Notamacropus eugenii: one gene and its partners. The protein of the gene in region 1 binds, or shares a complex with, the protein of each later gene. Links are inferred from orthologs where the notes say so. Each region holds a gene or a part of one and is shown on either strand. Other genes may lie near its edges. The genes, in order: CRNKL1, CWC15, PLRG1 and PPIL2.

Region 1 (7,396 bases):
TCTAAAACCTGAATTTGAAGGAACCTATCTGTGAAATGAGATAGGTACTTTGAACATATCCTTATGATGCCAAATTCCATCGGGATGACAAAGGAGAAAAACAGCAGAATATATCCAATAATGAATAGTGTGTTAAAAATCTTAATGCTTTATGTATTGTAATCTAAGCAGATTTAACTTGGCATACAGTTTAGTAATTATTTGTTCAAAAATTATCATAAAAATAACATTAGCAAAAACATTCAAAATAAGGAAGAAATTACATAAAACTTTATCATTTAGTAAAATCAGACCAAACAAACTGCTGGTGCATATAAAGGAGGCAAAATATGCAGAGCCTCTTGTTGAGTATTTCATTCTAATTGGGATGTCTTCTCCCTGCTACCAATCTTGTTTAGAGCCTGAACATTTTAAAAAATTATCATTATGCTGTCATTCCTTCAGTGGATTGATTCTGGTTGAAAAACAGAAGAAAAAAGAAGATTTTACCTCTTTAGGCAAAATCTAACTGGCTAATGATTAATTAATAGTGACAAAATGAACGTCCCAAGAGGCCATGGACTACAGGAATTCATTACTGACAGAAAACATCAAGGTCAGTCTTAGCTATGCAGTCTTGATTAAATCACTTAAGGTTGCAGAGCCTCAGTTCCTTTATTAGTAAAATGGGGATAATTGGTAAAATTGGTAAAATGGGAGCTAGGCAGCGCAGGGCTTTGAGTGCTGGGTCTACAGTCAGGAAGATCTGAATTCAAATTTCACTTCGGACAGTTACTAGCCATGTAACCCTGGGTAAGTCACTTAATCTCTAAATTTTCACAACTGAAAAATGGGGAGAATAAGAGCACCTCTTTCCCAGGGTTGCTGTGAAGATCAAATGAGATAATATTTGGAAAGTGCTTGGTAAAGAACCTGGCACACAGCTGGCTCTTCATAAATGCTTGTCCCCTTCTCCCTTCTCTTGTACTACCCATTCCACAGAAGTTTTGTGAGGCAAGCAGTTTGTAAATCTTATATGTCAGCTATTAATAATATCCATGTTAGCCTCTCTAAACAAGCTCTCAGCCAACCAGCTTTATGGTTCACAGCACTCCCCTGAAAGGGCTGAAGTCTACTTTTTACTTACCTTTCTTTTCCTTAGTTTATAATCATTTAATTCTTCTTCATCTGTGATCTTCTGTTGAGGAGGTGGTGGCAGAAGCTCAAGCTCTCTTTCTTTAGCTTCCCTCAAAAGCTGTTCTGCTGTGATCTGTACTTCAGCAGGGGCTTTGTTTTTCACCTTAAAAATGAAATAGATTTATCTTTGGTATCTGCACTTTTACAAACTTTCAAATAACAACTATATCTGTAACTGTTATATGTGCGTATGTATACATAAATTTCTGGACCATATTACAAGATACTCTATTCAGCAGATTATGTTTGACTTCTTTATGAAATTATACACAATGCTTTACTGCTTGTAGCTTAGTTTTGTCTTAAGGGAGAGTTAGCAATAAAATGAAGAGCAGTATATACTTGTGGCTTAGCATAAAAATAAATTTGGATCTTGGAGGAAATACTTTGAATGTAATTTTGATATGATGTTTTAATTTCTTTTAAAAATATGTATCATATTTTAGTCATGTTAATAAAGAAACCTTGTTTACAGAATTCTTTTTCTTATTCCCCTTAAAGTCATAAATGAATTAAATGGTCTGAAACATACGCTTATGTCTAAAGCCATATTTAAAACAGGAACCAGAAGATGTGAGTTCACATACCACCTCTGCCACTTACTGTGTGACCTTGAGCAGGACCTCTGACCCTATTTCCCTTAGCTGTAAAGGGAAGATAATATCCACACTACTTCCATTGTGAGGATGAAATAACAGAACAATACGTCACACTTTGGAAACTATAAGCTGGAAGCAAATATATTTGGAAGATAAGCCTGATTAAATAGGAAATTACAACTGAATACTTTTAACACCAAGATGGTAGTTATACACTGAGTTTGGGGGAGGAGAATAAGATCACTTTAAATGGAACCTAACTGGTTTTCTTGTTAAGAAGATGAGTATGGGGAACAACGTTTTGGTTTGGTTGCAAACGTTCTGTGTAGTTTCACAGTTGGCAAGAGAAACACATGGAAAAAGGGTTTGAATCATCTCTTGTAATGTTTTAGACCTAAAAGCTGCTTCAAGTGACTGTATTTGTGATTTTAAAGGGTTGAAAACAGACTTCGTACTACAGAGAAAGTATCTATTGAGTATAATGGAAATAGATTTTAGAGCCCAAAGGCCATCATGTATTTCGCAATGTTTATATGCTGACTCCCCCCAGAAGAGTATTACTTGATAAAAGTGGGGCTGCTGATGCCAAAGAACCCACTGGGTGGGATTTACACACATGGCAAACCAGTAAAGCCTCAGTAAGTCAGTCCTTGCCTAAGTGCGGGGTCGCAAGCACTGGGCTTTAGGAGCTTCTTTCGTCAGAAAGTTCTTTGTGCTTACAAGCCATGATGAACACATTATGTGCTAATATCGACATACACTGAGGCTCAATGAACAGGTGCTTCCTACAGACACGGTATGACTCTAAAATGACTGCCCACATCGTCGAGCCCCCGGGCCGCGGGGGGCACGCTGCCTCCGGAGGATTCCCAGTCATACGTGCTTTCTTCCCATTCCCTTCCCGGATCCCGGGAAAAACGGTCTCACGCCCCCAGGGAGCTTGCTTTTCCTCTCCCCACGGGCACAGGGGCTAAGAGACACCGACAACAGCCCTTCCTTCTTCCCGCCCCCTTCGGCGGCCCCACGGCCCCACCCCTACCTTGGCCACTTTGGGGATCCGCTGCTTTCCGGCCGCGGTAGAAGCTGCCATGTTTTCGAGAGTGGGTCCGCGAGCCTTGCAGAGCCCTCTCCGATCCTTCAATCTCCAGGAAACGGCCCCCAAGCGTCTCCAGCCAGTTCAAGAAGCCCCGGACAACAACTCCAAGCCGGAACCGGAAGCGGAACTGTCGTTATCGAGGCGTGACCCTTCACCCTTACCGTCGCGTGACGGGAGGGACGCTGTTTCTATAGTAACCGGCCTTCGGCGTCTGTTCCCGAGTTAGCCCGGAGAGTGCTGTAGCTGGGGTGAGTCCAATTAAGAAGGGTTCATCTGTGTGTAGCGGAGGGGTTCACAGGGTATTCTAACTGTGGTTTGCTTTAAGTGGCTTAGGGCCAAGGGATTTGGGCGTCAGGGAGAAGCTTTACAGGTGTTCCAAGCAAAGGCGCCTTGCGCTGAAACATGGAACAGTGCCCGGTAGACTTCGGGGGAGGGGAAAAAGCACAGACTACCACTCCCAGAAGGCAAAGCAACACCACTGTGGAAACACGTTATCTCGAGATTGGCCGTGTTGCTTCCTGGGTCTTGTAGTCTCAGTCTCTTAGAGCCGCTTCTGTTTTGACCTGAGAAGGAGGAGAGTACCGGGTTCTAGCACGGAGAATTTAGGAAAATAGAGGAAAACGAATAAACATTTATATAGCGCCTCCTGCACTGTGCTAAGCGCTTTACAAATTTGCCTCATTTGGCCCTCACAGCTGATGGGGTTCAGACTCTGGGAACCTCCTTGAATCTTCCCACTTAACCTGGCCTTTCCTACTCAAATCTGTTGCCCTTGGCCTAGCCTGGCCTTCCATTGGCTGTTAACTCTAGATTGCCCCGCCTTGCTTCCCACCCAAGCCCTCCATTGTCTGATACCTCCTAATTGCCTCCAGCTGCTCCATCCTGTGAATCAGGTGCTGTTATCCACATTTTACAGTTGAGGAAACTGAGGCAAGGGAGGTTAGTTAAGTGACTTGCCAGAGTTACACTGGTAAGTGTCTGAGGCAGAATTTGAATTCAGGCTTTCCAGACTCCAGGTCCAGCACTCTATCCGTTGTTCCGAAAAATAACTAATAATACTTTAAAAGTTTTAAAAACCTTATCAGTTATTTTAAAAGTAGAGTTTTCCCCCATTAAAAGTATACAGCTATGCCTTTGGTCGTTGAGGCAGATGGAATATATTCCAACAAACATGGTATAATGCGGTTATAGTGAAGTTCATTTTTTGGCATCAGGGCTCTACAACAATTGTTGTTTCAGTCTTTCAGTCATGTCCAACTCTGTGACCCCTTTTGGGAGCTTTTCTTGACAAAGTTACTGCGGTGGTTTTCCATTTCCTTCTCCAGCTTATTTAACAGATGAGGAAACTGAGGCAAACAAGGTTGTGACTTGCCCAGGGTTACATGGCTAGTGTCTGACGAGTCTTCCTGACTCCAGGAGCAGCACTCTATTCATTGGGATACTTAGTTGCCACTTAGCACTATGCCACCTCTTAGTAAGTGCTTAATAAATGCTTCATGGTTGACTGATAGTGTAAGTTACTGGGAAAAGAAATTGAAATTGATTAAATTTAAATTGGTGGATTGGGATAATTTGTATTTCATTCATCTATTAACCCTTTCTGGTTAGCCAATACTTGCCTATACATATGCGCGCACACACACACATACACACATGTATTTGACTTAGCCAGTATTAAAAGCACCTTTGTTGTGCCCATTTTATGCATAGATAAACTGTATTTTAGATATGTAAAGAATTACCAGCGGCATAAGCACTGCCAACTAAGAAAAGGGTGGAATTAGGGGACAGAGGTTTCCAATTTACTGGTTTCCATGAAGAGCCTGACATTTCATTCACATGCCCCCTAGTGGTGGAAGTAGGGCATAACTTCAGAGATGAGTGTTGGACTGTCACTCTGAACCTCATCTTTCATCATGGAAAAGTATCAGATAGTAGAATAACAGCTATCGAATCTAATAGTGAAACATGTTATTATTCCTCTTCATCCACTCTACATTCTAGTCAAATTAACTTTCTTGATTTTCCTTTTCCTGGAACTCCATCTCCACCTCCATGCCTTTATAGGCTCTCCTCTGCCAGGAAAGCATTTTCTCCCTTGGAGGGTTCTTAGATACCTTCAAGTTTCCCTTGATGTGTTGCCTCCTAAGGGGAAGCCTTTCTTGATCCACCTAGTTGTTAGTATTCTTTCCATTCCATCCATTTGTTTGTGTAAATATTAATAAGCCTCCAATACAATAAATGTTCCTGAGGGGACATAGCTAGATAACAGTAGTATGTCTTGGGATGGTCTTGATGTTTTAGTGGAGTGTGAGCTCAATGTGACCAGCAGCCAAAAAAAGATGATGCCATCTTAGGTCATATGGAGACGTATAATGTCCAGAACAAGGAGGGTGTCAGCCCTGCTGTACTCTGTCCGTAACTTATTTAGATTCTTATGTTTTTTTCTTCATGTCTCTTTTTAGGGAGGGCATTGGTAAACTAGAGAATGAACAGAGGTGGATGAATGGGATGCCAAAGGGTTTCCAGATCATGATATGCTAATCAAAGGACTTGGAATGTTTCACTTGGAAAAGAAAAGACAAAGGAGTGGGATGATGACCCTCTTCCAAATACTGGAATCAGACTCATCATTCTCTAGGCCATAGAGAGCAAGAACTAGGAAGTTACAGAGAGGCAAATTTGGGGTTGAAGTAAGGAAAAACTTTCTAGTAAGGGAATTGATATAACTATAGTATGGACTCCAATCACATCATATTTGGGCAGCTAGATGGCAAGTTCAAGACTTGGATCCATAAGATATGAATTTAAATTTGACCTCAGTCACATACTAGCTGTGTGAACCTAGACAAGTCTCCTAAGCTCTGTTTGCCTCAGTTTCTTCATCTGTAAAATGGAGATGGCAATAGTACCTACCTTATAGGGTTGTTGTGAGGATCAAGTGTGATAATATTTATAAAATGCTTTGTAAACCTTAAGGGGCCTTTATAAGTGCTAACATTATTAATTGGAATCCTGCATTTTCTTTTGGGCAAAATTGAAAATTGATTTTAATTCTATTTTTGCTAAGAATTGATCAAGCTAGATTTAATATTCCCCTTTGAGATTCCTTTCCCTTGTAAACTCACCCATCACCCACTTTTCAGAGAAACTCAACCTAAAAGCTCAAATCTTGTCAATTTAAACTGTTAAAGAAGCTCCTATCACCTACACACTTATCCTGTCCTTGGAAGATCTGTTACCATTACCTGAGAACCTTTGTCATAGTGACTCAAATCACATATCTTGGCTGTGGTTAAGGGGTTTTCAGAAGGTGAGGTTCAAATGATGTATGTCATCCATACCCAGTCAAAAGACCACACCTATGTTGCTCCAGATTTTACCCTGTCATCATGCGAATTGTTATGAAAAACCCTGTCAAACCTCACTCAAGGTTTTTGATCATCAAGTGAGACCATTGCTCCAACTTATTGGTTACTGCTAGCCTATCTAGCTATTTGATTATGCTCAGAATTTCACACCTCAGTTCATCTTAATTTCTGCTATAACAATTAGAACTATCCTGAAGTGGATTAGACTGTCTTGGAAAGTAGAGGTTTGAAACAAAAATAATCATTTTGGATTTGTTGTTCAAGGGATTTTTGTTCAGCTACAAAGTGAACTAAATGGCTTCTGAAGACCCTTCCAGTTCTCAAATTCAGAACATTTTCCTAAATTCATATATGTGTGTGTATGTATGTATGTATATTATATGTGTGTATATATATGTGTATGCATATATACAGAGAGAGCGGGAGAGACAAATTGGATAATCTCAGAAAGATAATTGATAAATAAAAAGTTACCATTATTGCTATCAGCATTTTAAAAGACTTTTTCACTTTGGGTTTGACAGAAATAGCTATGATTTTTTTTATCTAAATGTAAATCTAAATAGACATAATATTGTTTAAACAAAGTTATCCCAAGGCAAAATCAATCACTGGTTTTCTTTCCTTTTTTATAAACTGGAAGCAGCAGTGAATTTCCCTCCTAATACTTGGATACATACAATTGTGGTAAATTAAATATACTGAACCAGTAAATATTTCATTTCAGTCCCTTTCAACAACTGCTCTATAACATTTGGGAGAAGTTTTACTGGCAACAAAGAATACAGTTGTGGCGCTTTCTAGACAGACCAATTCTCAGAAACTGTATGAGCCGATCGAGAAATGTGTCTCGTAGTTTGTGGTGACAGCTGATACAATGTACCCCCAGGGAAAATCAGCTAGACTTATGTGGAAAATATTGTATTCACTTTGTCATTTTGGAAACCGAATTAGTATTTAATATTATAAGTACTGTAAGCGAGACAGCTAATCATTTCAGATTTATAATGGAGTGTTTTCTCTTTTCGTGAAAGGGCATAAAATGACATCATTGACTTCTCCAAGAGGCAGGGAAGAATTTGTCCATTGCAGAAGAACAGAATCACAAGATATTTACTGTATTAAGACTCTCATCAGAAAATTTACAGAAAATC
Region 2 (7,381 bases), on another chromosome or scaffold:
AAACAATCCCTCTAGAGGTTATCCATTTTCAGTTTTACTGAACAAAACTAATGGCATTGACTATAGTGCCCAGTGAAGTAATGTCTGCTTGGTCTAAAAATATTTCTGTAGCTTTTAGACTTGATTATTATGTGCTTTAAGAATGTTTATCAATCTCTGTCCTTCTTGGAGAGGCAGCATGAATCTCTTTCTATAGCTACCTTACAGTGATGGATCCTATGTTTCATTAACATTGTAGAGGATGTGTTAGGATACTTTTCAAACCTGTTACGACCATTTCGAAGTTCCAGAAGTGTATATTAAGACTGGCACTGAGTAGGTATTAATTGCTCTTAATGTATTATTCTGATTCTACTTTAATTTCATGATTCCAGCAAGTCTCAACATGGTCACATCTGTCTCCTTGATTATCTTTTATGCTCAACACATCTTGCTTTGAGAAAACTAAAGCATTAGTAGGTGTCACCTTTATACTTGACCTCTGGATTCAATCTGAATCTAGCTTTTCTTGGCATACACTCATTGTATTTAAATGACTATTATCTTATTCATCTCATTTATGGAGTTTAGACAGTAATGATTATTTTTTTATTGTAGAGTATAGAAAAGGGTAAAGCAAGTAATATGAGATGGGGAGTGAATATATTTGAATGCCTGAAACTCAAATTACAAGCCAGGGTATTAGCACAAAGACATTATAGGTAAGAGATTCATATGGGTGCTTAAAAACCCATTACAATACTTCAAGGTCTAAATGCATGTGTGAGGTACTTGGGATACCTGGAGTCTGATTTTTGATCAGTAAGTAATCAGGAGTATAATGATGAAAATAAAGTTCAAAATCAAAAAAGTTCTTGCTACTACTGGTAGGATGGACTAAATGCAAGGACACTAATTAAATATGCTTGAATTTACGTACAGTGTCAAGTCAGGCCATGTTTAGCAGGAAAGAAAAACTTAATCTCAATTAGATATGAGGACCATAAAAAACACAATCTCATGGCACAGAAGAGTTTTATGATCATCATGTCTGTGCGTTGACACAGACATAGTTGTGTTTATGTGCCTGTGTACCCAACACTAAAAAAAAATTTTCATTATACATTAAAGAATGAAATTTATGTCAATGTTCATATTTTATTGCTAATTCTCTGGTAACTGACATATATAGCAACACCCTATTATCCAGAAGAGGTCGTTACAGAACCCCATACAAAATTTCTTCTGCCTTTTAAGAAAAACTCTCTACAAGAAACATTTAGTCATTATTACCTGTATTTAATTTTCGTATGAGAAGGTAGATCTCTGCTTGAATACTGCTTTGAAAGCTGACTCAAATCCCCTTCCCCTTTCCCTCTTCCACCTCTTGCAGGTTCAAATGTAGGCCTTGCCGCTGTGGTCATCTTCGAGGCTTCATGGATATACAATTATATTCAGTCACATGTCCATACTTAAGAAAATTATTAGTTTTAAAAACAGTTAAAATCCTATGCAAAAGAGCTTTCAAAATTCATTTAACTGAACGCATCACCACCATCCCCTTTTCTGTAACTTTTTCTATCTGTACCTTTATTGAAAGACCATAAACATCACCACGGCACGTAGACTGTGAGAACACCCTCGCCCCCCAAACAATGACCTACCATAGCAAATTACAAGTCCTGGGAAGGTGAGGAAGCGATCATTCTTAGGGCCACAAGCCTTGGCAAGTAGTACTGGCTTTCTCATCTCCATCAGACTCAGGGAGGCAGGCAGGGCTGCGCAAGGTCTCCGGCCTCACCTTCTGGGTCGAGGGGCCAGATACGGCTCAGGACGGCCTGCGGTGGCCCAGAAGGCCGTGGGGCACCTAGGGTCTTTTTGGGTTTTTTTCTATTTTTAAAGTTTATTGCCCCAAATGAGCATGCAGCTCATAACGATGTGGCACGAATTGGTTATGTTTTCTTTTGTAAATTCTAACTTTCCAGCCAAGGTCTCCATGTTCCAGACGTCAACAATACAAAAGAAGATACCCCAGAGTCGGCCCTCAAGAGGCTTACGCAGTAATGGGGGGTGAGGGCGGCAGGGCCCCCGGTAACTAATGCAAAAGGGAGACTCGGGGAAGTACCACCGGAAATCCGAGGAGACCCGGGGACGGACAGCAAAGGCGAAAGCGCCAGCAGCATCCCGAGCCCGGGCCTTCCCTTCACACCCGACCCCGGGGCCCTAGAACCCGTGCGGCTTGGCTTCTCCCTTCAGCTCTCCTGCCTCTCCACATCTCCCAGCCCCACTGCTCCCCAAAAAACTCTTTTTTTCCCCGTGAGCTAAAGAGAGAGAGGTCTCTGGAATCACTTACTTCAGGTCCCACGGCCCTCCGATATTATGCCAGCACCATTACTCCTCCACCTTCCCACAACTCTCCGCGCCGGGACCCCCAAAGAGCATAGAGTTTGAAAACAACTCGACTCTCTTTTACCGGAAAAGAAAAACAAGGTGGCGGAGACGCGCTTAACGGAAGGCGTCATATGACCAAAGCCAACAGCCAATCGTCGGGGAGAAAGGCCGCCGACGGGGCGGGAATAGAAGCGGAAGTCGCTAGGACGCCCGGGAGAGGCAAGCCAGAGCCCGCCCTTTCCGGTTAACTGTAGGTCGGCTGGCCAACAGTCATTCATCCAGTTCTTTGCTAGGCTCTTTCTTCCTCACACTCTTCTCTCCAAAGGCTTCTTCCCTTCCACCTCGCCCCAGCTCTCTTTGTCCTTGCCCTGCGCGGAGCCAGACGGAAGGAAGCCATGACTTGTGGACGGCGCCGCCCTCGTGTGGCCGCCAGGGGTCGACTATGAGTCCCTTGGCCTGCCTGAGGGGGACGCGGCTCCCCAGGCCTGGGCCGCCCGTTTTCTCCCTATGCAGCCGGACCGATACTTTTTTGACAAACAAAAGAGCTTCCCTGAACCCGAGGAGAGAGCCGTCGAAGGTGTCTCTGGGGAGACGGAAAAGGAGGTGGGCGAGTCGTGTGTCACTGCTTGACCCCTTAGGTGCCCCTTTGGTATCCGGGCAACGACTGGGAAACTAGAAGCCCCCTGCCCCTGGCCTCCCCATCTGCCTTAAGTCCGCGGACCAGGGCCAGAGCCCGGCCGGATGAGAGGCTTTGGAATGGGCTGTGATGAGGATGCCTGAAGGGCAGGGGAGAGAGCTGCCCAAGTCCGGGGGAGAAGATACCCAGGGCCGTAGGTTTCTTGAGTCCCTCGTGTCGCTCTTGTAAATACATTACCCTGTAAATAGAACTGAATTCATAAACAGATCCCCGCGTTTAGCGCGGAGCACTGATCTAATAATAAGTAATTTTTAAAAATCAGAGAAGAGGCCGTGTAGTACAGAGGTGTCAGACACAGGTTGCTTGTGGGTCTGCCACACTCCCAGAACCAGATTACTATGTAATTGGGAAGGAGCGAACAAAATAAAAATATAATAAAACGGTTAAAATTACATTTTAAAGCTAAGTCAATATATAGTGGCAGGGGTTTTTGCGTGTGGATTAGTATTGCCCGTTTTTTTCAGTTTGACACCACTGGAGTGGACCAGAGGAGCAGGCGGTGAGGCCAAAAAACCCTGACTCTGACACATAGTGACTTAAGGGGCACATTGTCGAACCCTCTCAATGCTCCAGCAACGCTTAAAGCAGCAGAGGAGATGTTGATTTGCACTAGGGGAGAGATTTCCCCAACCAGACACAGGGTTTCCCATCCAGGGGTGGGGAACCTGCAGCCTCAAGGCAGCATGTGGCCTTCTAGGTCCTTGACTGAGTCCAAATTTTATGGAACAAATCCTTTTATTAAGGGGATTTGTTCTGGGAAGTTTGGATTCAGTCAAAGGGCTGCACTTGAAGACCTAGAGGGTCAAATGTGACCTGGAGGCCACATGTTCCCCACCCCTGCCAGCCCAAATCAGATAATAAGGTTAGAGATAACCTGGAGTAGTGGAAGAGTTCAAAGACAAGAATGAAAAAGAGTTGGGTGCAAGTCCTGCCCCTGGCACATTGGCTTTTAAGCCTGGGCACATCATGCAACCTCTATGTGCCTAAAGAGAATTCCTTAGGATTGACATTCTAAGCAAAAATTTGAAGGTTCCTTTGGTAGAACCTGCTTCTGTTGAAGGAGTACCTACACAGGCATAAAGTGACAGATAACTGTAGCTTTTGTCACGGATCCATGGATATTTCAACTTCAAAAAGACTAGAAGCTAGTGGTTTAAGCAATGTCTTGAGCAGTGCTCATTTTGGAAGGGAGAAGTGATCAGGAACCCAGAGATTCCCAGTGTTTTTTACACTTGGTTTTATGAGATTTCTTATTTCTTATATTGCTACATTTAGAAATCATTTGTTAAAGAATGTGAACTAAGATAAAATCTTAGACATCTTTCTCTACAGATAAGGAAATTAGCAAAGATGAGAATTCAGCACTTCTAACACCGTTTTTATTCCAACTATATTATCATTACTGTGGTACACCAACTTTGAAATTTCTTAATTCTTATTCAGTGTTACACAAGGAAAAGTTGAGAATGAAAACTCAGAAATCTAGAAAATGTGAAGTAAATGAGAAAAGGAATGCAGCAAAGGGCCAATAAGGGCACCTGCTCAACTAGATGGGTTCTAACCATGTTTATCCTTACTTTGATTTTGGGTCCTTGATAGGTATTGAATTTCCTTTTTTAGAATGTGGAGACTCCTCTTAGGGACTTGACAGCTTGGGAGCATTGATTAGGAAGGATATCTTCATTTGAATAACTTGTTGACCTAGACACATTTTATTAAGGGAATGATTAAGGAATTATTTGAGTGAGTCAGCTTATTATGGACTTGAGCCGTATCTCCATATTGGATCTTTGAAAGGGTAGGATTGGTAGGATTCAGTCAGAAAAATCCTGAGGAGATGTGAAAGTAGGCTTTCGTCCCTGACATCCTGAGCACTGGCAGGTATCCTGGGGGATCCCTTCCTGCTCCAGCACCAGAGATGGTAGGCCAGAGAAAATGGAGGGGAGGGGGAACAATGGTGGAGTCAAGGATCTGTAAGAGTTACTGAATTAGGCCTGGAGTCAGGAAGACCAGACTTCAGGTCTGGCTTCCAGCACTGACTACTTGTGTGATCCTGGGAAAGTCATTTCACCTCTTTTTGCATCAGTTTCTTTACCTGCAAAATGGAGATGATAATAGCACTTACATCTCAGGGTTGTTAAGAAGATCAAATGAGATGATGATTTTAAAGCCCTTGGCAGAGGGCTTGGCACATAGTAAGTGCTATATAAATGTTAGCTATCATTATCATTAAAGTCAAAAAGACAGCTCAAGGCCTGCCTCTGGCATATTCTAGCCGTATGACCATGGAAGAGTTAGGCAACTAACCATCTTAAGTCTGTTAATTAGGAAACAACTGCTTTGGTAGAGGGAATTTCCTCGCCTGGAATTCCCTACACAGATTTGGAGACTATCCCTACATAATTACATGTTCGTAATGATTGTAATTTTAAAACTGAAAAAGAATCTTAGAGACTACTGAGTCCAACCCCCTGACTTTTTAGATGGGGAAACTGAGGTCCAGAGAGTACAGTGACATACCCATGTCCTCTGACTTCAAATCTAGTGCTCTTCCTCAAGCACTATACCTGCCCTGCTGTGTGCCTTTTCATTGCCCTTTGATTAATCCTTAAATTTAGTTCTTTGAAGACTGTAGTGTCACAGCCATATGTCATTACCAGAAGAATATTCATGCTATAAAATATGATCCTTTTTTCTTTTTGTGATGTTGAAAAATGTTCAAGAGACATAGTTCCTGGGAAATTTAATCATGTTATTACTAAGAACAGCAGGTTACTAATAAAAGGATGGTCATTTGGCTGCCTCTCTTAGACCAAAGACAGCCATGGCAGTGGGGCTCATAGTTTATCTACCCTTCCAATGAGGGGCTCATGTCATCCATCATCACATCACCCTTGGACAGAGAAGACTATTTCTACTCAGACCACCTGCAGCCTTGGGCTATCTAGACAAAAGGATCTGTACCCCCTTCCCCAAGCCTGAGGAGTACACGGTGGACTTCCCCAACCTAGATTAAATTCCTTGCAAGATTGGGTGGGGTCTGATTAAGATCTAGGAGAGTCATTGCAATCTCATTATCAGTAATGTCCTTCAAGAAAACTGAATTTTTTAAAATGAGAAATTTAGAAAAAAGGGAGAGCCTCTGAATCTCCCCTAGATGTTGGTTGTTAATCATTTTTCACACCCTCAGGAAGAAACTTTGCCATTTCCCTAAAAAAATCTAGCTCACTCCACTATTCTTCCACTTCAATTCTGAGCTAAGGTCATTGTCCATTAATAGTGTCTATTTATGATATATATATTTTTTAATGGACAAAGATTTCTCGATTTACTAGTATATGTAAATAGTGGGTGCTAGTATGAAAAGATGTATAGGCAGGGTCCCTGATATGCAAGTTGAAGGCAGAGACCCATAGAATGTCTAGAACCTATCACAGGGCTTTGCAAATAGGTACTACAATAAATGTTTGCTGAATTGACACAATAGAAAAATCACCGAAACTCGGAATGACAGGCAGTTTCAAGGTAATCTTATCCAAGTTGTACCTGAAAATGTGGGTATTCAGCTTTGGCATTAAGAATTTCCAAAGCCAGTGAATCTACCACTTCCAGAGACAGCCCATTCCACCCTGGACAGCTTTGATTTCAAAGAGCTTTTTCCTTACATGAAGTCAGAATCAGCCTCTTTGTAACTTCCATTCACAGTTGTTAGATCTGCCCTTTGAGTTCAACCACCACGAATCAGTACTCATCTTTGTACACCATCCTCTCAATCATGTAGACTTAAAACTTCATTATCTCTGAACCCTGTCTTGTTCCTGCCTCCCCTTTTCTCTTCACTACTTCCCCAGTGACATACTCCTGGAGAACCAGATCAAAACCTACTTTAGATTTTTTTAAGGCTTTATAACAATTTCCATCTACATATTTGTAACAGTAAGCACCCCAACATACACAGGGGGCCTGCTATCACAGGTTCTTAGGTCTGCATTTATAAAAAGAAAGGTGACTTTTGAGGGGTTAACAATCACTTTAATCACATGTATCATTCCTTTAACCAAGGATATATATTATTCACCTAGTTCAGGGGAGTCAGCACCCTGAACTTAAAAGAAAATACAGAGAAATCAAAGATCAATAGACATGGCTTCCTCTGCCTGACCATAATTCAACAGACAAGTCCAGCTGTCTGACCATGGTTACCAGAGAGGGAAGCACTGACATCTGGGTTTTCAAAGCCAGTGGGCTCTTTAGTGGCTTCCCAGAGTCATTGTCTGGCCAAACAAACACTTCCAGTCAGTCAGTCCCAAAGTA
Region 3 (7,210 bases), on another chromosome or scaffold:
AGTGTTATAATGTTGCTTCAGTTATACAGCTTCATATAGTCTGATTAAAGTCTTATCAATTGAACATATAAAGTGTAATATTTATTTCTCTACCAAAATCCAAACTGGAGATAGGCTAAGGAAATGAGAAAAATGCATCAATAGGGTGAAAAAGGATTTTCTAAGCTGCCTGTAATAAGCAGGAATTAGCATCAGAGAGGAAGCTAAGTGTTAGAATGGAAAGTCAGTAATTCCTGAATTCCAATCCTACCTCAAATTCTTTAATACCTGGGTGAGGTTGGGGGTTTCCTCAGTTTCCTCACTGCTAAAATGAGTATAAACACATGCATCTGCCTTACAGGGTTATTGTGATAATGTAAAAAGTTTTGCAAACATTAAAGAGCCATCTATGTAAATGCTAAGTTTTATTTGAGGCACTAATATTCTAAAAGCAAAAAGCAACAATGGAAAACTACACTGAACAAAGTTAACCTGCTTATTGTGTTCGTCCTTCGTTGCCGAACAAGACAATGCCATCAGAGAAATGATAACATGACTGTCACTTGACTTTGTTTTGAGTGAGGGAGGGCTGGGCGGGTCACCAGCCTCACTTCTCCTCCAGAGCCATCTGAATCCAGGGACCAGGTATTCATCAGGATGACTGGAGATGACTCAGGATGCACTGGGAGACCTTGGCCCCTTTAGGTCAAGGTCTATGCAGGTACCCACTTAGGGTGAGGCAACGCCCATTCATTGAACAGGCCATTTAAGAAGACAAGGCATGGCCCCCTTAACGAGGTCAAGAAAAACAAAGACATCAGGCTGGGTGGGAACCAGTAACAGTTACTATCGATAATCACTGTAAAGCTAGGAGGGTCAAGAGGAGCCCTTAGGCAGGGGCCCATTGCACTCCCAATTTGTGTAGGTTTAGGGTTTTGGGAGAGGATAGGTCAGCACAGAACAGGAGAAAGGGAAGGGAATGGAAGGCAAAGGAAAGGAAGGAAAGGGACCAGTAAAACCCAAGACCACCGGGCATCTTTTGGCCATCCAAATTTACAGTCCTTTGGAAAGAAGAAAGGGGAGGGGGAGGCAGAGAGGAGAGGAGGAGCTGAGTTACCCATTCAGCCAGCTGCATCTACTCACAGGACTGTGTTTGTCTTTTGTGGCCGAAGAAGACCATGCCACCAGAGAAATGATGACATGACTGACTTTGTTTTGAGTGAGGGAGGGCTGTGTAGGTCACCAGCCTGGCTTCTCCAGAGCCATCTGGTCACTGGATTAGCCTGCTTATACAAATGGACCCAAGTCCTAATCCATGTCATATTCACCAGTGTTCTGCTAAGAGTAGCCTCTGAACAGTGTTCTGAATTGTTCACATCACTGTTTCCTTTCCATACCACTGATGTAGCCTTTAGGTTAAAGCAATTTCCTTCACATGGGGTTAATGCAGGCGTTTAACGTCCTTTAAACTGAACTGGTATAGCTCTGCTTACAATCTCTGAAGCTAATTAGTTTTCTTAGAATTTACATCTGATTGCAAATTAGCTTCACAAATACTGTAAAACGTCTAAATTTTGTCTCAGTCTAACTTTAGGGGAAATAGCAAATTCCTTGAAAATTTATTGTTCCTTTACGAAAATACAGTCTTGGCAGTTAATAACAAATAGCATCCCAACTGTCAGGTGTATTTACAAAAATACAGACTTTGTAGTCAATGACAAGTGTCAAAGACAAAATGAGAAGGCAATCATTTTAAACTGCAAAGCTCATGCGGAAGTAACGACTGATAATGGAACAACTCCAAGAAATGGCAGAAAAGTGTTACTGATAGAACCGAACCCCAAATTTCTAACAAGTAACTTGCAACTGTGAATTTTCCTCTTGCATTTAAATACTGTAAACCATATTACATTTACTGCGCTGTTACAGATTATCATTTATCACATGCAGTGAGGAAAGGTTTTACCTGATGAAACTGTAGACAGAGATTTAATCTTTAAAAATTCAATTTTAACGGGGCTTACAATAACAAATTCTAAATATCACAGAGTGTGGAGAGCTCCGTGAGATGCGGCTCGTAAGTTTAAAGCGTATGAACACGATGAAGTGTACGATGAAAGTTTCACCCGACACCACACGGTGCCAGAACCGACCCCACTTGGCAGATGTGACGTAAGCCATCACACTCTCCAGGCCACTTCACGAGGTTCCGTTCCAAGCCCGCCCGGCCCCACACCCGCACATTCACTAGCAGCTGCTTAAGGCGCAGCCCAAAAAACGGGGTATCGAGAAGGAACGGTGATCTGGCGGGGGGCTCTGCACTGCGGTCCCAACCACGGCCCTGCTCCATAGGGGTTCTCCTGGCTCCAGCCCCCTTCCCAGCCGCCTCCCCAATGCCCCTCTCATGCCCACGCAGCAGGCGCCAGGAAGGCCCCCACAGGACGGGGCGGGGGAGGTCTGCACTGCTTCACGCTGAAGGCATAACGCAGCGATGCCATGGCATTTCGGTGGCACCACCACGGCGGACGCCACTCACCATGCCCACCGGCAGGCGGGCCAAGGGGCAGAGCGGGAGGAGGAAGGGGGGGGGGGTTGGAGGCGGGAGGCCGGGAAGGCGCTGCTGGGGTCGCTGCCCGGCCGAGAAGCAGCCCCGCGGGCTCGGGCCCGGAGCTCGGGGGTCTCGCGGGGCCGCGCACGCCCACTCCTCCACTCGCGCGGGGGGCGGGGCCGGGGCCGGGTCGCGGCCTCCTCTCGCTTTCATCAAACCGCCGCTCCCGCAGAGCCCGAGCCAGCCCCGGCGGCGGACAAACGGCCGGCCGCAGCCTCGCGCGCCCAGAGGCCGGCGGCTCGCCCTCACGCGCACCCGTCACTCACCTCCACCATGACGCCGACCACGTCGCCCGCCCCGCGAACGGAGAAAGGAGAAACCGAAATCCAGACAGAGCTCCCGCCGCCACCGCGACGCGGCTGCTTCCGGAGTCCGGAGGCGCCGGCGCCGGATGTGACGCAAGGGGGCGCATGCCCATTGGATGGTAGCTGTTGCGCCTGCGCGGGCTCGAAAAGGACGATGGGGTTTAGCTTCCAGAACTGTCTCCGTCCCACCGTTGGAGGAAGCCGCAACCTTGGTGGTGGCTGTACCGGATGAGCTCTGCTTTTTCCGTAGAGCCAATAGCGTGTCCTGGATAGACCGCTTGGCTTGCGGGCGGGAAATCCTAGCCCCGAATTCTGTTTCTCTCCGAGCCTCAGTTTCCTAATCTGTAAAATGAGGGGTTGGCTCCCTTTCACCTCCACGTGTCTGATCCTCAGGACTTACTGCCCTGTGGGCATGGGCAGGGCACTTAGCCTGGTTTCCCCACTTGTGTGATGGCTGTCATGTTCCTTCATAGCTAGACCTTCATCTTAGCCTGAGACAAGGAAGGGAGGAGATGGCGTTTGTCTCAGTCTGGCCCTTTGTGCAGGGCAGATGAACTGTGTCGTGGGGTAGCCCCGGAGCCGCAGGCGGGGACCCCCGGGCCTGGAGCCACAGGTGGAGGACCCCCGGCCTGGAGCCGCAGGCGGGGGACCCCCGGGCCTGGAGCTGCAGGAGGGGGATACCTGGTTCCCCCCAGTGCCGCAGGGGAAGAGACCTTTTTCTCCTTCTGTGCCTGAGTTTCTTTTTTTTTCCTTAAAATTTGGGGATTGGACTAAATGATTTCTAACAGGATTGCAAATCCCTAGGCTTGAGAAAGTTAGGACCCTGTGTTATATGAGAAATTAAAGGGGAGATAGGACAAGGCAGCCGGATCCAGGCCCCAGCTCTTCTCCTTATTTCCTGATGTTGACCTGAAAACTTGGTTATAGTAAAGGCAACAGGCTAAATGCAAGCATTTTATGATTTAATTTATTCATTGATCAATTCCCTATTAAAGACAATGGTAACACAATGCATTATGGAGCCAGAAATGTTCTGACTACCGAATTAAGCAGCCTTACATCTGCTTTAGGACAAAGAAGTGTTCTGCTTTCTTCAGATTTATGGTCTCCATAAGTGATTCACTAGACCATTAGAAAGGAATTTCTTAATTGCATAGGTTGTAAATACAATAAGATAACAGAGTTTGACAAAGTTTCAGGTAGAAATTACGACCCAAGATGTCTGTGTTTTCTTTACTGTTAACATGCCATAACATAGTATATGTCTACAAATACTAAGATATGGAAACCATCCCGTTATTCAAGATAGTGTCTTAGGTTAAAGGTCTCTTAAGGAATGTTAAGTCAGCCCTGGCTGGCTTTTGTTGACATAAGAAGAGACATTCTCTGAGTTTGCTTCAGAGAGAACAAAGAGATTATTACAAAATTTTATATTAAACATTATCACTAAGTGACCACTGACATAGTTTCATTTCTCTGGACCCCAGTTTCTGACAAAAACGGGGTTCAACAGTGGTTGATGGATTTAGATGAGGAAAGGGCCTCAGAGCTCATATATGATCACTAAAAAGTTTGAGGATAGGAGAGGTACTGACTGCCAGATGGAGATGTAGATCTGTAAATCTTATGACCCAGCAAGTTAGCAAGAACCCTATGAGAGACAGCCAAAAGTGAAATTTCCACAGTTACTAGTTGATGAAGTCATGGAGAATAAATCAGATAATAAGAAAGCCAGCAGAGTGCAGGTGGACTCAACCAGTCAGGACATGCAAAAAGGTGGTCTTTAAAAAGTCATAAATTTTTTGATAAGCAGGTCCAGGCCTGAAACTGGCCAGAACCAGTCAAGGAAAATGACCTAGAATAAGCTGGAGAAAACTTTTCTTCACTGTGCTTGCTTAATGAATCTCATGTATTGTTGAGGGCCAGGATGGAGTGCAGTTGACTAGTTCAGGATGGGCCTTGGGGAAACTGTTCTTTGAGACTGGAATGGCTCTCCATGCCAGCCAGATATTGATGTCTCTGTGAGACAAGAGAACTACAGAATACAAGGGATATATAAAATAGATGCCTTCTAGACTAACGGTCTTTAAAGACAATAAGACTGGCCAAATCACTAGGACTGGAGATGAGCACATAGACATGCAGTTTCTCTCTATATATCTGACCCTCAGATCAATAAACGGAGTTGCCCTGTCTACTCCCACCTGCCCATGTGTCTTTCTTCTTCACCACTGTCACCAAGCCACGTGGGGACCGCAGGCCCTTGGCCACAATGTATCTAAGCAGACGCACCTGGCATAGAATTATCCCTCCATTTTCTGGTCATGGGTCTTACGTTAAAACATGTTTGGGAGTGGTGATCACACAAAGGGTGGTTACATAATGGGCATGTAGAGAAGGTGGTGACCTAATGGAAAACGGACCAATCCAGCTCCTGGTGTGAGAATCTGTCTTGAACTAACAGTATATAGCTCATCTCGCTTCTGTATTCAGTATTCTTTCTTCCTAAGGTGGGAAGGGGGGGAGGGGGGGAGGTTGGCCCTAATTTGGCCAAAGGTGTTCAATTCCTCTGAATTCTGCTATAATACATTTTCCTTGATACCTGTTAGTGTTTCCAAAAACCCCATCCCCACTTCCATCTCCCAGCCACTTTTCCATAGACCCCTTTCCTTTCCATTTACCTATAGGATGCCTGCTTTGCCTCCGGCATGGAGTTTTTGCGAGTTTCTCAGAATCCATGCCAGTGGAGCACAAGCACTGACAGATACCAGACTAATAAAGCTTCTACTGCAGATCAGAGGTGAACTACGTTTGTCAACTTAGAACCAACCTGGTCACGTTGAGAGAAATTGATCATATGTTTGTCCACTGGATGATGCTTTTTTGTTCGGTTGTTTTCTGCTTTTTTTAATAGTTTGCAAACTACATTGATAGTAGGAATATGCAGATAAAATCATAGATCTTTGAAATATTGAGATTTGATTTAGCAGAGGCATTTGGTTGAATAACTATCTTGTAGTCATATGTTCCCTTGATTCATTCCCTTTCCCCCCTTTGTTTCTATCTCATTTGCACACCTGTATGCTGCTCTCTCCTAAGGCCTTCTGTCTTTTCCTGCCTTCTTAGCTATCTTGATGGAAAGGCAATAAGTAGGAACAAGACATCATGGAGAATCTATAAGTGGCATAATGACCATCTGCTTCTTCTGTGTCTGCAAATACTCCATTCACTGAGGTGCATTTCTTTTGTTTTAATAATTTTTCAGATACAGGGTGGAACTTTTTTAGTATTGTTTTTGTGTATCCTTCTAGGGAATTTTAGATCCTCATAGCTCCTTTTTCTGTTTATAAACCGTAAGAGAAAGGAGGGAAAGAGAAAGGAAGGAGGAAAATCGATAAGAGTGACCCAATGCAGGCAGCAAGAAGTGGGGTAGAGATGGAAATGGAAAATCAGCAAGAAAACCTGTGCCCCTTGAATAAACAGAAACCAAAGACATTTTGACCTTATCATTCTGAGGGACTGCCACATTCTTCAAGATTCAGCTATGCTCCAACACACTCATAGATCCCTCTGTGGCTCAATAATCATTCATTAAGCCTTTCCTACATGCCAGGAATTGTGCCATGTCCTGGGAGTAAAAAATGGCAATTTCTGCCTTCAAGAAGTCTCCATTCTGATGGAGACAACGTGCATAGAACTTTATACACAGTACTGATTGACAGTGTAGGGAAGGTAGTCTCTAAGGGGAAGTACTTACGTTGGAGGGTGGAGGCTAGAAAAGACCTCTGGTAGAAGATGGAGTTTGAGCTACTATCTTCATCTCCTTAGGGATCCAGGACTTTACCTTCTTGGTGCTCAGTATGGATCTGCCCTCATCCAACTATTGTTCCTTGATGTCCAATTCTGCCTCACCCACCTACCCACTTTTTTTTCAACATAGAAGGAAACTCATGGCCAAAGTCACACATTTAGTGGGTATCAAACTGGGCCTATGACACAAATTTTTTGGCTTGAAACATTTCATAAACTCACTTCCTAATACCTTTCCAGTCTTCTTATATCCTGCTCCCCTCCATACAATGTATAGTCCAGTGCACTGGCTTCCTTGTTGTTTGTTCCTTTACCAAAACATTCCATCTCTAAACGCCAGGTATTTTCACTGACTCTCCCCCATGCCTGGAATTCTCCAATCCAGGTTGTGATACTAGTTAGAAATTTGCTAGCTGTGTGATTGTGTGCAAGTGCCCACCCATCTGAGGCTCAGCTTCATCATCAGTAAACAAGAATATTAATGCTTGCACCACTGAACTCACAGGAT
Region 4 (6,932 bases), on another chromosome or scaffold:
CTCCCTGGCCCCCCATGAAGAGGAGAGCTGCCAGAGGGCAGGGAAGGGCTCCCTTGTGCCTGTGTCCCCAGCATTCAGCCCAGCGCCTGCCACAGAGCCAGGGCTTTCTCAGTGAGTGCCATTCGCCGTGTTACCACCCTCCCTCCCTCCCCGCAGCCTCTGAGCCCCCGAGGGCCAGCCTGAACCCCCGAGTGTCGGTGGCTGGGACCACGGTCCTCCGTGGAGTGGCCTGGAGCCAAAAGCCGCTCACACGGGCTCATCCAACAGCCCACGGGGGGCAGGGAAGCTCTTACCTGCAGTGGTCAAACGGCAGGCGCCGGAAGTTCGCCTGTGGGAGATCTGTGTGAAACGAAGCGGGGGCCGGCGTCACAGCTGGCTCTGGAAGCAAGGCCGCCAGGGGGCTCCTACGGGCACCCCCAATTCCAGTGCCCTGGCGGAGGAGGGGCAGCAGCGCCCATCTCCCGGCCCCGCTCTCTCGGAACCCTGGCCCAGGCCCCACCTCGGCTTCAGGCTGCTCACCAGCCAGCCCCAGCATTCCAGGGGTCACCCTGGACGCCCCCGGACCCTTGTAACGCCAAGGCCCTGCCACCCAGGCCGGAAGGAGCCCGAGTCCAAGGGCCTCCCTGGAGCCCTGGCCGTGCCCTGCGCCGTCCTGGGCACCCACTTTCACGTCCTGCTGCAGCCCCTTCCTCCTCGTGGGCCCCCCAGCGAGCACTTATTAAGCACCAACTGTGTGCCAGGAGCGGAACGCTCCCTGCCCTCCAAGCGCGGACGCTTCTTCAGGAGACAAGGGGTAGGTCTATAAGGCCCGTTTGGGGGGGGGGCGGCAGCCGGGGGGCCAGGACAGACTTTCTGCAGAGAGAGGAGGGGGATTCTGGGGCAGCTGTAAGGAGAAGCACCCCAGGCAACGGGGGCAGCCGTGCAAAGGCGCAGAGGCGGGAGATGAGGCGTCGCGGGGGCTAAACAAGGCAGAGCTGGGGGGGGCGCTCGAGGAACACGATTGAGACAACGGTGAGAAGATGCTCCCCCCGCCCGGGGTCCCCGGGGTCGGGCCGGCGGCGGGTACTCACCCGGCTTCTTGCCCCCGTAGAAGTGCGTGTACTCGGCGCAGGTGATGTACCTGAAAAGGGAGGCGAGCGTCACGCCACGCCGCGGAGGGCGGCCCCGCCCCCCGCCCCCCGCCCCCCGCGGAGCGCCGGCCCTCACATCTTATCCTTCTGGTGCTGCCGCTTCCCCATGGCGGCGGCGGGGTCGGGGCCGGGGTCTGCCACCCGGGCGCCCCCGAGCTCAGGCCCTCCCAGACAGCCGGCGGGCCGCCCGCGCAGCCCACTTCCGGGGTGCCTCCGGAACTTCCGGTGAGTCTTCCGGAAGTCTGTGGTGTGCCGGGAAATGTAGTCCCGCGGGTGGGGCGGGGGCCCGCCGTCACGGAGCATGTGCGGGGAAAGTCAGCGAGGCGAGGTCCCGTATGGAGAGTACCCTAAAATGACAGAGGGCCGTGGGACCCCCGAAAATCGCCCCCGCGATCTGGAGATTCGCCCAGGAAAGGACCTTGGAGCTCATAGGGACCCATCTCGTACAACCCCCTCGTTTTACAGATGGGGAAGCTGAGGCACGTTTGTCCAAGGACGCGCAGGTTCTAGGTGGCAAATGCAGGCATTCGAACGCAGGTCCTCATCTCCAGCCCCCTTGTTTGATAAATGAGGGTTCTGAGGTCCAGAGAGGGAAACCCTTTAATCCACACCAGCCCCCCGTTAGTTCCCAGGCAGCAGGATCCATCAGATTCAATTAAACAACCACATTAAGCGGCCCTGCAGGGGAAAGGCCAAGGAGGGCTGAGGACGCAGGTGGGAGCCCCAAGCAGTGGATGAGCTCCAGCACAAAGGAAAGGGAGGAGGACGGATGACGTCACCCCTCCGCCTTACGGTCTGGGAGGCCACTCAGGCACCATCCCTCCGGCTGCGCCCTGGGCCTCACAGTTAGAGCCACACCTCCTGGGGCAAGGTTTTACGTGGGTTGTATATGTTGATCATCGGCCATAACAGAAACGAAAACAGCTTGGTGTTGTAAGAAAATAGTTTTGGAAGAATCCCAGAAAGGGTCTCAGGGACCCCCAGGCTACACTTTGAGAGCTGCTGCCTTAATTTACAGATGAGAACTTTGAGGTTCAGGGAGGCGAAGGTGCAACCCAGCCTTTCCCCTATGGTGATAAATCTGGGGTCAGGGTCATGGGCCAGTCTGGATCTGTGGCTGAACCTTAGTTTGTAAGAAAGGCTAGTACTACTTCCGGGACTGCGGTGATGCCTCCTTATTGTCAGGGACCCCCAGGGATCCCTGTAAAGCTTCCTTCCCTTCCCCTTCCCCGATGTTTGGCTCATTCTGGATGCAAAGGTCGGAATTCTGGAGCCAGAGAATAAGCTAGTGCCTCAAGGAGTCCCAAAAGAAAGGGCACCTTAACTGGGGCAGGAGAGGACAGTTCTTAACTCTGGGAGCATTAATGGAGGCAAAGGTGGTCTGTTATGGGAGGAGGGACGGGAGTCAGGGGCTCCAGAAATGGGAAGTCACCTCCCTGCAACGTGTGCCTCCTTGAGAGCGTGGGGTAGGAGAGGACAGAATGTTCTTTAGCTCGTGCCCTGGACAGCCCGGAGTCTAAACGCACTCTTCACCATCTTTGTGTGTGTGTAATTGGTTCCCCATCCCTCCCTCTCTCTCTCACACACACAACATGCAAGCTTGCTATGTGTAAAGCGACATAAAAATACGTATGAATTAGAAATGGTCAGTAGAAGGGAATTGGGAAGGGTTTCTTCTGCCAGGTGAGCTTTTACTCTGGACTTGAAGGAAGCCTCAGGAGCCAGGGAGCGGATGCAGGGGTATAAGCGGAGTCTTCTGTTCCACCCTGGAGAGGAGAGGGAGTCTCTAGGGATGATTGAGTGGGGGAGGGTGACATGGTCAGGCCTGCCTTAGGAAGATCAGTTTGACAGCTGAGTGGGGTACACTGGAGTGGGGAGAGCCCAGCAGCTGGCACTGGCAGGAGGGGATGTGGGCTTGCATCAGGGCGGGGCAGCTTCGGAGAGAAGGGGGCGTGTACCAGAAACATTGCGAACTCGGCTTCTGATTGGCTGCAGAGGATGAGGGGAAGTGAGGTGCTGAGGCTGACACCTGGGCTCGGAGCCTGGAGGCTCTCGACTGCACTAAGACTGTTAGGAAGAGGAGAGGGTTTGGGCAGGAAGACGAGTTATGTTTAAGGCTCGATATCCCGCACAAAACATCCACCAGGCAGCTCTACAGAGACGTGAAGCCCACGGTCAGCAGAAAGGTCAGAGATGGAATCTGAGAAGCAGGCCTAGAGGCCCAGGCCTCCCCACTATCTACAACCCAGAAAAGGAAGGATGGAGAGGATCGTTAACCCATTTCAGAGGAGGAAACTGAGGCTTACCAGAGGTGAAACTTGATAACTCGAACGAGGTGCTGACCCACCTCTTCTGCCTTCTGTACCAAGCCTTCCTGATCCAGGGCCATACCCATGCATGGATACCGCATACAATACTCTGTATATAGCTTGCACACCCTAGTTATCTAAGTCCACCCCATTAGAATATGGGTCCCTTGAGGGCAGGGACTGGGTTTTTTTTGGCCTTTCTCAGGATCCAGGTGCTTAGTCCAGGACTGGGCACAAAGAAGGCCCTTTCCAATCTGCCTCATTGACTGACTGTGGGCTATGCTGCTCAGGGAGCCCAGGTGTCCCTAGCTCCGAAGGGTGTGAAGGCCCGTGGGAGCCCTGAGCCCAGCCACATGGAGGGAGCCCTTCTGACTCATCCCCACAGCAAAGGGAGAGATCGGCTCCCTCAGAAGCAAACAGACCACGTTTCATCGCTGGGTGTGCCGTGACTGAGACAGGGTACCTGGCACAGTAGGTGCTTATTCATGGATGGACTGAGGAGAGACTGCTTAGATCACCCCTCAAGATAGCTGGGGAGAGAGACCCCAGGTCCTTGGAGACAAACCATGAGCAGATCCGTCCCCATCAGAGCTGGCTCTTCCCTTTCCTGGGCCCCACCGCCCCCTCTGTTGAGAACAAAGACAGAAAGTTCTGTGTGGGTTGTTGGTATCGGTATTAACATTCTTCACCGTACCAGCTGTCTCAATGGCATACACAGCACCAGCAAAGAAAAAATGTATAATTGCTTATAATCAGTCATCACTCTTTCCAGATGCCTCCAAGCTCTCCAAACTTCTCCTAACCCTCCGGGCCCTTGGACATGACTCACTAGAAGCAAGGGCTCCCCATGGGTGCTTCCCCCAGCCCTCTGCCCCCATGCCCCACCCCCAGACAGACATCTATGGGCCACTTCCAGAGTGGCTGGTTGTAGGGGCCTCAGGGTCAGGCCAACAGGAGGAAGGCAGGGAAGGTGGGTGGGGGAGATTGCTCTCACAATATGCTTCCTTCCTCCTCAGAGGGAGGCTCCAAGGGTGCTGGAAGAGAGCCATAAGGGGTGGGGGAGGAGAAGCCAGGCCTGCCAGCCCCTGGTAGTGAGGACCCTTCTGAACAGTTTGCTGGGCATCAGCCGCTGCTCCCCGGGCTAGGACTGTCAGCGCTGGGAGGAGGTCCTGAGCTGGCTTGGCCAGGGGGCTGCACTGTTTCCACAGTCTCCTCAAGGCTTCCACTGGGGAATACCACATATCGGGTGCTGCCTGAACCCTGAGCGTCCTTCACATTCTCCTTGCTGTGTCTGATTCCATAGCCAAAGTAGACGCCAAGCCCTGTGGGGGTTAGGGGAAAGAAAGGTTAGGCTGCCCAGGAGGCCTGTGCCCATCTGAGAGGAAAGCATACAAGAGGTTACCCAGCCTCTGCCAAAACATCTGTAGGCATAGGAAGCTACCATTTAAGGCAGCCCATTCTAATCGTAAGCTTTTCCTGACATCAAACAGAAATACCACAGTGTACAACAACCTGACGGAGCTGTTCAGAAAGAGGTGTTCAGTCTGTTCTGTTTAGTTCTAGAAAGTAGAACCTTCCCATTGGTAAAGGAGTCACAGGGCTTCATATATTGAGACATTATCTAACGGTGAAAGTGTCCAAATGAGAACGGGGCTGCCCCAGACATCACAAGATCCCCACGACTTCTGGTCTTCCTACAGGGGTCACATGACCTCTTCCTAGTCAGGGATGCTGGGTTAAGACCCAGATCCTTAACCTGGGATTAAGAACTCTTTTTAAAAAATATTTTGACAACTATTTTAAAATTGTGTTTCCTTTGTAATCCTGTGTATTTTATTTTGTGCATTTAAAAACATTATTGTGAGAAGAGGTTGCCAGACTGCCACAAACAACCTGGTCACATTCCCCTGCCCAGGTTTAGATTCTCTCTCCTTTAAGGTCCCAGGGAACCGGGGACTTCTGATTCTGCTTAGGAGCCTGGGGTCAGGAAGGGAGAGTCCAGCCAGACCAGACAAGATAGACTGAGAAGAGGCACAGAAAGCTTCCACTCTCAGCTGTCTCCTCCTCCCCAACCTGAGCCCTCAAAGCGAGCCCCAATCAGATGGTAAAATGGTCATAGTTTATTTGAAAGGGATAAAGTCCCCTCCTCAGGGCAGGAACAGAATATAAACTAGAAGCCCCTTGAGAGCAGGGGACATTGATCTCCAGGGTTCACAAAGCACCTGGCCCTCGGTAGATGTCTGCTGCATTGAAAGGCAGTGGTGTGTGGAGATGACAGTGGTTCCCAGCCCTGGAGAGACCCTATCAGCCCCTGAGAATGAGAAGCCAGAGCTCACTTGGACACTCACCTGCCAGTAACCAGATAGCAAAACGCAGCCAGGTCATATAGCTCAATTTCATCATGAGACAGATATTCAGAAGGATGCTCAGGGCTGGAATCAGAGGCACCCAAGGGATCTAGGAGACAGTGGAGGGCAAGGTTGAAGCACAGAGTAGTGGGGAAAGAGTGGGAGAGGGGAACTGGGCAGGTAGGGGTGTGATCTGCTCAGCTCACCCCCCTCCCAGAGGCTCAGGTGTGGTCACAACAGTACCAGGGTTGTGAGCATAACCAAAATCTCTCTCCTTCATCTACACTGGCTCCTTATTCCCTCTCTTCTTCCATCTCAACCCTTCCAACCTCCACCAAGAATGAGGAGAATCATCATTGGCTCTGAAATCAATTTTGTTTAGAAATATACAGTCAAATAGAAGCTCGAGCAGCTAAGCTAAGAACCCCAGGTGCCAAGAGGGGACTTGGTCGGTGTGGGAGTGGGCAAGTGTGTCCTAAAGGGGATTCTAGGGGTCCCAGAGGTGAGTGTGGGAAGGATTTGCACCCAGGTGGAGGAGTCAGTATATGTGCTGAGGTAGTCATTTAGTCAGCCAACAAGTAGATATTCAGTGCATACTATGTGTTAGACATTGTGCATAAATGTGTGAGTGCTCCTTTGGAATGAAAGAATGAAAAACCTTTGCAGTCAAGTCCTCCTCCCAATCCCTCAGGCTCTTAAACCAGGGGTCATCCTGGATCCCTCACTAGCTTGAACCCCCCCACATACATTCAAGCTGGTTTAAAGGCCTGTCAATTTCACCTCTGCAGCATCTCTTGTTCATTTCACCATTGCAACATCTCTGATCAGTTTCAACTGTACAGCATCTGATGTCCATTCCACCTTTGCAACATCTCTTGCATATAACCTCCTTCTCTCCTCTGACACTTCCCCAACCTTGGAGCAGACCCTCATCACATCACACCAGGACTGTAGCAATAGCTATTAGGGATGGGTGTGGGGAAGGGGAGGTCTGCCTGCCTTGAGTCTCTCCCGTTCCAATCCACCCTCCACTCAGTTACGAAAGTCATTTTCCTAAAGTGCAGGTCCAAGCATGTCACCCCTACTCACCATGGCTTTGATGCCTTCCCATGTTTCCGGTCTTTTACCTTATTCCCCCCCAACAT

What was found.
Region 2: CRNKL1 (region 1) and CWC15 share a complex: the UniProt entries of both Homo sapiens proteins name them as parts of the minor spliceosome. The link is inferred for Notamacropus eugenii from reciprocal best matches to the Homo sapiens genes CRNKL1 and CWC15.
Region 3: CRNKL1 (region 1) and PLRG1 share a complex: the UniProt entries of both Homo sapiens proteins name them as parts of the minor spliceosome. The link is inferred for Notamacropus eugenii from reciprocal best matches to the Homo sapiens genes CRNKL1 and PLRG1.
Region 4: CRNKL1 (region 1) and PPIL2 share a complex: the UniProt entries of both Homo sapiens proteins name them as parts of the minor spliceosome. The link is inferred for Notamacropus eugenii from reciprocal best matches to the Homo sapiens genes CRNKL1 and PPIL2.

What each region holds. Positions count from the first base shown.
Region 1 is NC_092872.1:595,317,752-595,325,147, forward strand, and holds the start of CRNKL1 (crooked neck-like protein 1), read right to left. Parts: upstream 3,001-7,396; 5' UTR 2,866-3,000; coding exon 2,815-2,865; intron 1,280-2,814; coding exon 1,127-1,279; intron 1-1,126. Other genes in the region: CFAP61 (cilia- and flagella-associated protein 61), read left to right, coding at 7,285-7,396. UniProt on the Homo sapiens protein: Involved in pre-mRNA splicing process. As a component of the minor spliceosome, involved in the splicing of U12-type introns in pre-mRNAs.
Region 2 is NC_092876.1:163,313,175-163,320,555, reverse strand, and holds the start of CWC15 (spliceosome-associated protein CWC15 homolog), read right to left. Parts: upstream 3,015-7,381; 5' UTR 2,333-3,014; intron 1,412-2,332; 5' UTR 1,404-1,411; coding exon 1,273-1,403; intron 1-1,272. UniProt on the Homo sapiens protein: Involved in pre-mRNA splicing as component of the spliceosome. Component of the PRP19-CDC5L complex that forms an integral part of the spliceosome and is required for activating pre-mRNA splicing.
Region 3 is NC_092877.1:153,068,654-153,075,863, forward strand, and holds the start of PLRG1 (pleiotropic regulator 1), read right to left. Parts: upstream 3,021-7,210; 5' UTR 2,863-3,020; coding exon 2,854-2,862; intron 1-2,853. UniProt on the Homo sapiens protein: Involved in pre-mRNA splicing as component of the spliceosome. Component of the PRP19-CDC5L complex that forms an integral part of the spliceosome and is required for activating pre-mRNA splicing.
Region 4 is NC_092875.1:8,219,058-8,225,989, reverse strand, and holds the start of PPIL2 (RING-type E3 ubiquitin-protein ligase PPIL2), read right to left. Parts: upstream 3,013-6,932; 5' UTR 1,434-3,012; coding exon 1,207-1,433; intron 1,121-1,206; coding exon 1,071-1,120; intron 340-1,070; coding exon 294-339; intron 1-293. Other genes in the region: SLC7A4 (cationic amino acid transporter 4), read right to left, coding at 4,562-4,761, 5,788-5,896. UniProt on the Homo sapiens protein: Has a ubiquitin-protein ligase activity acting as an E3 ubiquitin protein ligase or as an ubiquitin-ubiquitin ligase promoting elongation of ubiquitin chains on substrates.